Linked DNA regions of Macaca mulatta. The protein of the gene in region 1 purifies or fractionates together with the protein of each later gene. This does not show direct contact. Links are inferred from orthologs where the notes say so. Each region holds a gene or a part of one and is shown in the gene's direction. Other genes may lie near its edges. The genes, in order: PPP1R18 and PPP1CA.

What was found.
Region 2: the proteins of PPP1R18 (region 1) and PPP1CA purify together in Homo sapiens (affinity purification with mass spectrometry; 5 studies listed by BioGRID and IntAct, counting the BioPlex papers as one, with this or other methods). This does not show direct contact. The link is inferred for Macaca mulatta from reciprocal best matches to the Homo sapiens genes PPP1R18 and PPP1CA.

The regions. Positions count from the first base shown.
Region 1 is NC_133409.1:152,366,646-152,370,301, forward strand, and holds the end of PPP1R18 (phostensin), read left to right. Parts: intron 1-766; coding exon 767-977; intron 978-2,889; coding exon 2,890-2,909; downstream 2,910-3,656.
Region 2 is NC_133419.1:6,981,882-6,986,170, forward strand, and holds the start of PPP1CA (serine/threonine-protein phosphatase PP1-alpha catalytic subunit), read left to right. Parts: upstream 1-1,489; 5' UTR 1,490-1,565; coding exon 1,566-1,620; intron 1,621-2,146; coding exon 2,147-2,278; intron 2,279-2,427; coding exon 2,428-2,658; intron 2,659-3,685; coding exon 3,686-3,790; intron 3,791-4,134; coding exon 4,135-4,289. UniProt on the Homo sapiens protein: Protein phosphatase that associates with over 200 regulatory proteins to form highly specific holoenzymes which dephosphorylate hundreds of biological targets.

The DNA.
Region 1 (3,656 bases):
CTCCCCCAACCTTTCAAGGTGTCAGCGGCTAATCTTTCCCCTGTGTGTTGTGGGAGTCTCTTGGTTCCTCTAGGCCTTTCTATTCATCTCCCATCTCTTCCCAGGCCCTAGACCCCCTTTGCTATGGATAGGAGAGGAATGAGGGGAGTGGGAGGGAACAGGTGCCCAGGCTCCTGGGTTTCGCATAGGACAGCAAGGGGCTGTGGGTATGAAAACCATGGTTTTGGTTGAGACTGGCTCCCCAGCCAGTTCTTTCCCCACTGGCCAGTCTGCTGGGCTCCTCTGGGAAGTTTACTCTTTCCCCACTGGCCAGTCTGCTGGGCTCCTCTGGGAAGTTTACTCTATTGCCTCCAAGGTGCCCAAAGACTCGGTTCTGATCACAAGACTAATCGCCACGTATTTTAATTTCTTTTTACCCCTCTGCCTCCCACACTCGAAAGAGCAGGGACCTTGGTCTTATGTTATTCACTTCTGCCTCCCAAGCCCCTGCCAACCTACAGGGCAAAGTCTGATGTTTTGAAATTATATGATCGAAGAAGGAAACTCTGGGATTGGAAAGCCAGTGTGTAAAGGAAAACTGGATCCCAGAGTGGATGGGAGAGAGTGAGGGGGGGCGCCTAAGTCCAACCCCCACCCCCACCTTTCCCCCGCCCCACCTGCTCCCTTGCAGACTCCCCCCCCCGCCCCCCCGCTTTCTCCCCCTCAACCCCCACGGGCCTCACCCCTGCTGACCTTGCCTCCTGCCCCCTTTTTCTCCCTCCTTCAGCTTAAGATCTCCTTCAGCGAGACAGCCCTGGAGACCACGTACCAATACCCCTCCGAGAGTTCGGTACTGGAGGAGCTGGGCCCGGAGCCTGAGGTCCCCAGTGCCCCCAACCCCCCAGCAGCCCAACCCGACGACGAAGAGGATGAGGAAGAGCTGCTGCTGCTGCAGCCAGAGCTCCAGGGCGGGCTGCGCACCAAGGCCCTGATTGTGGGTAAGCGGAGGCTCCGCCGGCTCGAGAGCGCCCCCTGCTGTCAGAGCTGGCGCTGCGGTCCAGGAGAGAAGAGGAGGGAGGATTGCATGTAGGCGCTTGGAAGGGGCTTGGTGGTCCTCTGGTCCAACCTGCTCCTTCAATAGATGGGCAAACTGAGGTCCCGGGCAGTGAAGTACACATTGAGTCTTCAAGTTTCAAAACGAGAACTCTTCCTGAGTACCGTAATCTGGTCAAAACCACAGGGTGGGTCGACAGGCCTGAGTTGGAATTGCAGCTTGTCTCTTAATTGTGTGATCTCAGGGAAACCATCCGATATCTGGCTTTAGTTTATTATTTATGAAATGAAGTTAATAATAACTACCTCCTGTGGCTCATGCCTGTAATCCCAGCACTTCGGGAAGCCAAGACGGGTGGATCGCTTGAGCCCAGGAGTTCAAGACCACCCTGGGCAACATGGCAAAATCCTGTCTCTACAAAAAAATACAAAAATTATCCCGGTGTGGGCCAGGCACGGTGGCTCACGCCTGTAATCCCAGCACTTTGAGAGGCCGAGGCGGGCGGATCATGAAGTCAGGAGACTGAGACCATCCTGGCTAACACGGTGAAACTCCATCTCTACTAAAAATAAAAAAAAATTAGCCGGGCGTGGTGGTGGGCACCTGTAGTCCCAGCTACTTGGGAGGCTGAGGCAGGAGAATGGTGTGAACCTGGGAGGCGGAGCTTGCAGTGAGCCGAGATCACCCCACTGCACTCCAGCCTGGACAACAGAGCGAGACTCCATCTCTAAAAAAAATAAATAAATAAAAATAAAAGAATTAGCCAGGCGTGGCAGTGCAAAGCTGTGGTTCCAGCTACTTGGGAGGCTGAGGTGGGAGGATCGTTTGACCTCAGAAGTTGGAGGCTGCAGTGAGCCGATATTGCACCACCCACTGCACTCCAGCCTGGGCAATAGAGGAAGACCCTGTCTCGAAAGAAACAAACAGGCCAGACACGGTGGCTCACGCCTGTAATTCCAGCACTTTGGGAGGCTGAGGCAGGTGGATCACTCAAGGTCAGAAGTTCAAGACCGGCCTGGCCAACATAGTGAAAACCCATCTCTACTAAAAATACAAAAATTAGCTAGGCATGGAGGTGGACACCTGCAATCCCTGCTACTCGGGAGTCTGAGGCAGGAGAATCACTTGAAGCTGGGAAGCAGAGGTTGCAGTGAGCGGAAATGATGCCACTGCACTCCAGCCTGGGCTACAGAGTGAAATTCCGTCTCAAAAAAACAGAAACCAAAAACTACCTCCTAGAGTTGTAGAAAAGATTAAGTAATTTATTTTATTTAATTAATTAATTTATTTATTTATTTTGAGATAGCGTCTCCCTCTGTCGCCCAGACTGGAGTGCAGTGGCACAATCTTGGCTCACTGCAACCTCTGCCTCCCAAGTTCAAGCGATTCTCATGCCTCAGTCTCTCAAGTAGCTGGGATTACAGATGTGTACCATCACACCTGGCTAGTTTTTATATTTTTAGTAGAGACAGGGTTCCCCCATGTTGGCCAGGCTGGTCTTGAACTCCTGACTTCAAGTGATCCTCCCGCCTCAGCCTCCTAAATTGCTCAGATTACAGGGGCTCCAGGCCAAGATTAAGTAGTTTTTGTGAAGCACCAAGAGCCACAGCTGGATATCAAATTACTTAATCTCTCCTGGAGTTATGGTGACATTAAACAGTTATGAGGATGCTTGGCACAAAATCCGAGCTAAATGAGTGATGGATGTGGTTACTGATGGTAACGTGCTTTAGATGTGGAAGATATTATAGGACTTCCTGCATGCCAACTGCCCTTCAATTTGTGTGTGGGGGAAGGGTGGGCAGAAGGCAGAGGCTCTCACTCATTCTCTGTCATTATTGCCCCCTCTCCCACAGATGAGTCCTGCCGGCGGTGACCATCTTCAACATAGGGATATACCTCCTTCCTTCTTATAACTGAAGATCCTGGATCCCGGAAGATTCAGGGCAGCAGACCCTGATAATGAGCCTGGCAGGGAAGGGCAACAACCAACATCTTGTAACTTGCTTTCCCCACCCTGTTTCTGGGGGCAGAGCCAATTGCCCAATTTCTACCCTAATCCAAAGTCCCTGGTGTGGGTGGGGTTAAACGTGCTGGTACATCCTGGGTGATCTAAGAGTGAGCGCCAAGTGCTGAGAAGGAGCACAGAACTCCCTGGAGGGTGGAGATGGAGCACCTGCCCTCCATGGCAGGGTACACTCTCCCCACAGCCTTCCTCCCCACCATCCCGTGGGGACTCTTGGGATTTAAGCACTCATGTCTCTCGAGGCCCAGAGCCCACTCCATTTATAGGCACATCTCCCTCATTTCCTAGGTCACTGCCCCTTTGTTTACAGCTCCTGCCTCCTCCTTGACCACAGCCTGGTTTACAAATTCCACCAGCTCCCAGCCCCACCTGCCAAAGTCCCAGGTTTACAAGCCACGCTTACTTGCTGTGTCTGCGTGGAATTCTTTCCTCTCTCCCCTCCAGTCTTCTCATTGGAGTGACCTGAAGGTGTGGCTTCCTCCACTTTTTCTCAGTATTACTTTGCCTTAGTTTTCCCCAAGAGGGAAGGCTGGAAATCTTAACTCTGTACCTGTTGATACTTATTTAATTCTGTTTCTCCTAGTGGTTCACAATTGA
Region 2 (4,289 bases), on another chromosome or scaffold:
CTCAAGAGATCCTCCTGCCTCAGCCTCCCTAGTAGCTGGGACTGCAGGCGTGCACCACCATGCCCAGCTAATTTTTGTATTTTTTTGTTGAGATGAGGTTTCGCCGTGTTGCCCAGGCTGGACGCAAGAGACCATCCCACCTCAGCCTCCCAAAGTGCTGGAATTACAGGCCTAAGCCGCCACAGCAGGCCCACCTCCAGTTCTGAGGTTACTGGCATGTAAAGCACCCAACTCAGGGTTCCAACAAGAATTAAGGTTAATTTATCGTCTGCTCCTTTGAGACAGAGTCTCACACTGTCACCTCGGCTAGGGGGTGCAATGGGCCTTGGCCCACTGCAACCTCCGCCTCCCAGGTTCAAGTGATTCTCCTGCCTCAGCCTCCCCAATAGCTGAGATTACAGGCGGCTGCCATCATGCCCAGCTAACTTTTTGTATTTTTAGAGAGATGGGGTTTCACCATGTTGGCCAGGCTGGTCTTGAACTCCTGACCTCAAACGATCCTCCCACCTCAGCCTCCCAAAGCGCTGGAATTACAGGCGTGAGCCACTGCACCCAGCCATGTCTGCTCATATAGTAATTCTTTTTACGTGCACACCCTGCAATATTACTGTGCTACTCAAAAGCTAATTATGGGGCCAGGCTTGTTGGCTCACGCCTGTAACCCCCCCAGGACTTTGGGAGGTCGAGGCCAGTGGATCACTTGAGGTTAGGAGTTCAAGACCAGCCGGGCCAATATGGCGAAACCCCACCTCTGCTAAACACACAAAAACCAGGCGCAGTGGCGCGCGCCTGCAATCCCAGCTACTCCAGAGGCTGAGGCAGGAGAACCCCTTGAACCTGGGAAGCGAATGTTGCAGTGAGCCAAAGTCGCGCCACTGCACTCCAGCTTAGGCGACAGAGCAAAACTCTGTCTCAAAAAAAATAAATAAATAAAAGCTAATTATGGGACTTGTAAGAAAATATTAATTTATCATGCCCCAAGGACCAAAGTGCGCTGGAAGTTCAGCCGTAGCTGTCTTTGAGTGTGGTCAGCCGCCTGGGGGCCACGGAGACCCACGAAAAAGGGGGTCGTACGTGAATGCGAGGTCCAGGTCTTGCACCAGTCTGTTCATATCTCTTGAGCCTCAGTTTCCTTTCCTGCACTTCGAGCAGTTAACCCTCAGTGCCTAGCAGCCGGTTATTAATATATTCACAACACCCTCCACCCAGGGCAGGGGTGGGAACGGCTGTTCTGCTTTTGAAAGAGAAAAACAACTTCCACAGTTCTTCCGGCCCCACATCCTCTGAACCGGGCTGGGCGCCTCCTCTGGGGCGTAACCAGTTGGACGCGCCCCCGACAGACCCCGCCGCCAAGGCCCCGCCCCCCAGGCCGCGGCGCTTCACGTCCAGCGGGGGCGCTAGAGCGCGGGGGACCGGGCGGGGCGGGCCCGGGAGGCCCGGAGGCGGGGCCGCGGGCCGGGGGCGGACTGGGGCGGGCGGAAGGAGAGCCAGGCCGGAAGGAGGCTGCCGGAGGGCGGGAGGCAGGAGCGGGCCCGGAGCTGCTGGGCTGGAGCGGCGGCGCCGCCATGTCCGATAGCGAGAAGCTCAACCTTGACTCGATCATCGGGCGCCTGCTAGAAGGTTGGTCGCGGCGGGGGAGGCCTGCGTCCGCCGCTCCCGGGCCCCCTGCCGGGCCCGGAAGTGGCGCGCGGGCGGGCCCCCGGGGCCAGCTTAGACTGGGCGGGGACGGGCCGCGAGGTTCGGTGGCCGCAGCCGCCCCCCCGCGGACGCGCCTGAGAGGTCCTGGGCCCGCTCCGACGCGCGGAGCAGCCCCCTCTCCCGGGCCGGGGGCGCACGGGTTGCCTGGGTTCTTGAGGCGAGGGAGAAACCCGGGAAGCCCGGTCCAGGAAGGGGTCCTGCGCTGTGAGGTGTTTGGGTGGCAGCCCCCTGCGCACGACAGTCGCCTCCCGAGGCGCTGAGGGTAGTTGGGGGCTTCCCTTGGGAGGCTTGAGGCCGAGGTCCCGGGAGGCTCAGCAGCAACAGCTGCCTGCGGGCAAGGAGCGGCCGAGGAGGCCTAGGCGCCCCCGGAGGTATCCATGGGGCCACCCGTGTCGCCCACCCTCCACCTGTCAGGGTCCCGGGTCTTGACACCCCATTGCGCCCCCAGTGCAGGGCTCGCGGCCTGGCAAGAATGTACAGCTGACAGAGAACGAGATCCGCGGCCTGTGCCTGAAATCCCGGGAGATTTTCCTGAGCCAGCCCATTCTTCTGGAGCTGGAGGCACCCCTCAAGATCTGCGGTGAGCCCCCCGACCCAGGTCCCCTTGCTTTCCTGAAAGTGGCACTGGCCCCCACAGAGTTCCTGGAGTCCTCCTCCCTTGAGCCCAGTCCTGGTCCTGGGTTCAGGTCTAGACCCTGCATCTAGCTTACCCGATTCCCTGGGTCACAGGTGATATACACGGCCAGTACTATGACCTTCTGCGACTATTTGAGTATGGCGGTTTCCCTCCGGAGAGCAACTACCTCTTTCTGGGGGACTATGTGGACAGGGGCAAGCAGTCCTTGGAGACCATCTGCCTGCTGCTGGCCTATAAGATCAAGTACCCCGAGAACTTCTTCCTGCTCCGTGGGAACCACGAGTGCGCCAGCATCAACCGCATCTACGGTTTCTACGATGAGTGTGAGTGGTCTGAGCGTCTGGGGCTGCCCGGGTCCTGAACCACACTCCTTGTCATTCAGTGGGACCTTCACATTGGCCTGATATCTGACAGACACTTGCTAGACTGTGCACTCCACGAAGGCAGGGCCCAGGTCCGTTCTTGTGCCTGCCCTGCCCCTCCTGGCATGGGGTCTGGGGAATGGTTGCTGACTGAAGGACTGTCCGTATTCTAGTGCTTTCCCCCAGGGCCCTGCCTGGTGACGTTCCCTCTACATTTGCTACTAAGCATTTAGGATGTTTGCAGATGAGCTCTGCTGTCCAGAAGCTGAGATAAACCAGACCTGTACTTGGCCCGGCTCGTGGGCCGGGGCGTGCAAGGAGTGCCAACCCTGAGGCTGGTCCAGATTGGAACTCAGTTTCCAGTGGACTCGGGTGCTTTAGAATTACTTCTGGTGGGAGGCTGAGGCGGGAAGATCACTTGGACTCAGAAGCTCCAAGTTACAGTGAGCTATGATCTTGCCACTGCACTCCAGCCTGGGTGACTGAACAAGACCCTGTTTCTTTACTTTTTTGAGACGGAGTTTCGCTCTTGTTGCCCAGGCTGGAGTGCAGTGGTGTGATCTCAGTTCACTACAACCTCCATCTCCCGGGTTCAAGCGATTCTCCTGCCTCAGCCTCCCGAGTAGCTGGGATTACAGGCATGCGACACCACGCCTGGCTAATTTTTTTGTATTTTAGTAGAGACAGGGTTTCTCCATGTTGGTCAGGCTGGTCTTGAACTTCTGACCTCAGGTGATCTGCCTGCTTCAGCCTCCCAAAGTGCTGGGATTACAGGTGTGAGCCACCATGCCCTGCCCAGATCCTGTTTGTTTAAATTACAAATTAAAATAAAAAGTAACTAGAATTACTCCTGGAAGGCTGACAGGCGGCAGGGGTGGGGGTGGTTTGCATTGGTGCCTGACTCTCTCCCATCTGCGGCTGAATAGCCCAGAGACCCCGGCTAAGGGTGGAGCAGGCAGACCCCTCACAGCTACCTCCCTCTGGGCAGGCAAGAGACGCTACAACATCAAACTGTGGAAAACGTTCACTGACTGCTTCAACTGCCTGCCCATTGCGGCCATAGTGGACGAAAAGATCTTTTGCTGCCACGGAGGTGAGCTCTCCTTAGTTGTCATCTGGGAAGTCACTCCTTTCAGGAAGTGTCTCCCATACCCCCCTGTGCTGGGCTGCACTCACTTCCTTGATGTGCATCCTACATGGGGCGGGCTTGTCTCCTTTCTCCCAGGAGCTCTGTGCTCCGGAGGCCAGGGGCGCCTTTGTGCCTGTTTGGGAACTTGAAAAAGCTGAGGGGAAGGGGATGGCTTCTGCCTGCCTAGGCACCCAGGAGACCAGTGGAGGGACCAGGAGGGTGGTGGAAAAGGTGAGGCTCACTGGCCAAGGCTTCCTGGAGGAAGGATGTCCTTGTTTGAGGAAGTGACCTTCCTTCTGGCCCTCCAGGCCTCTCCCCGGACCTGCAGTCCATGGAGCAGATTCGGCGGATCATGCGGCCCACAGACGTGCCTGACCAGGGCCTGCTGTGTGACCTGCTGTGGTCTGACCCTGACAAGGACGTGCAGGGCTGGGGCGAGAACGACCGTGGCGTCTCTTTTACC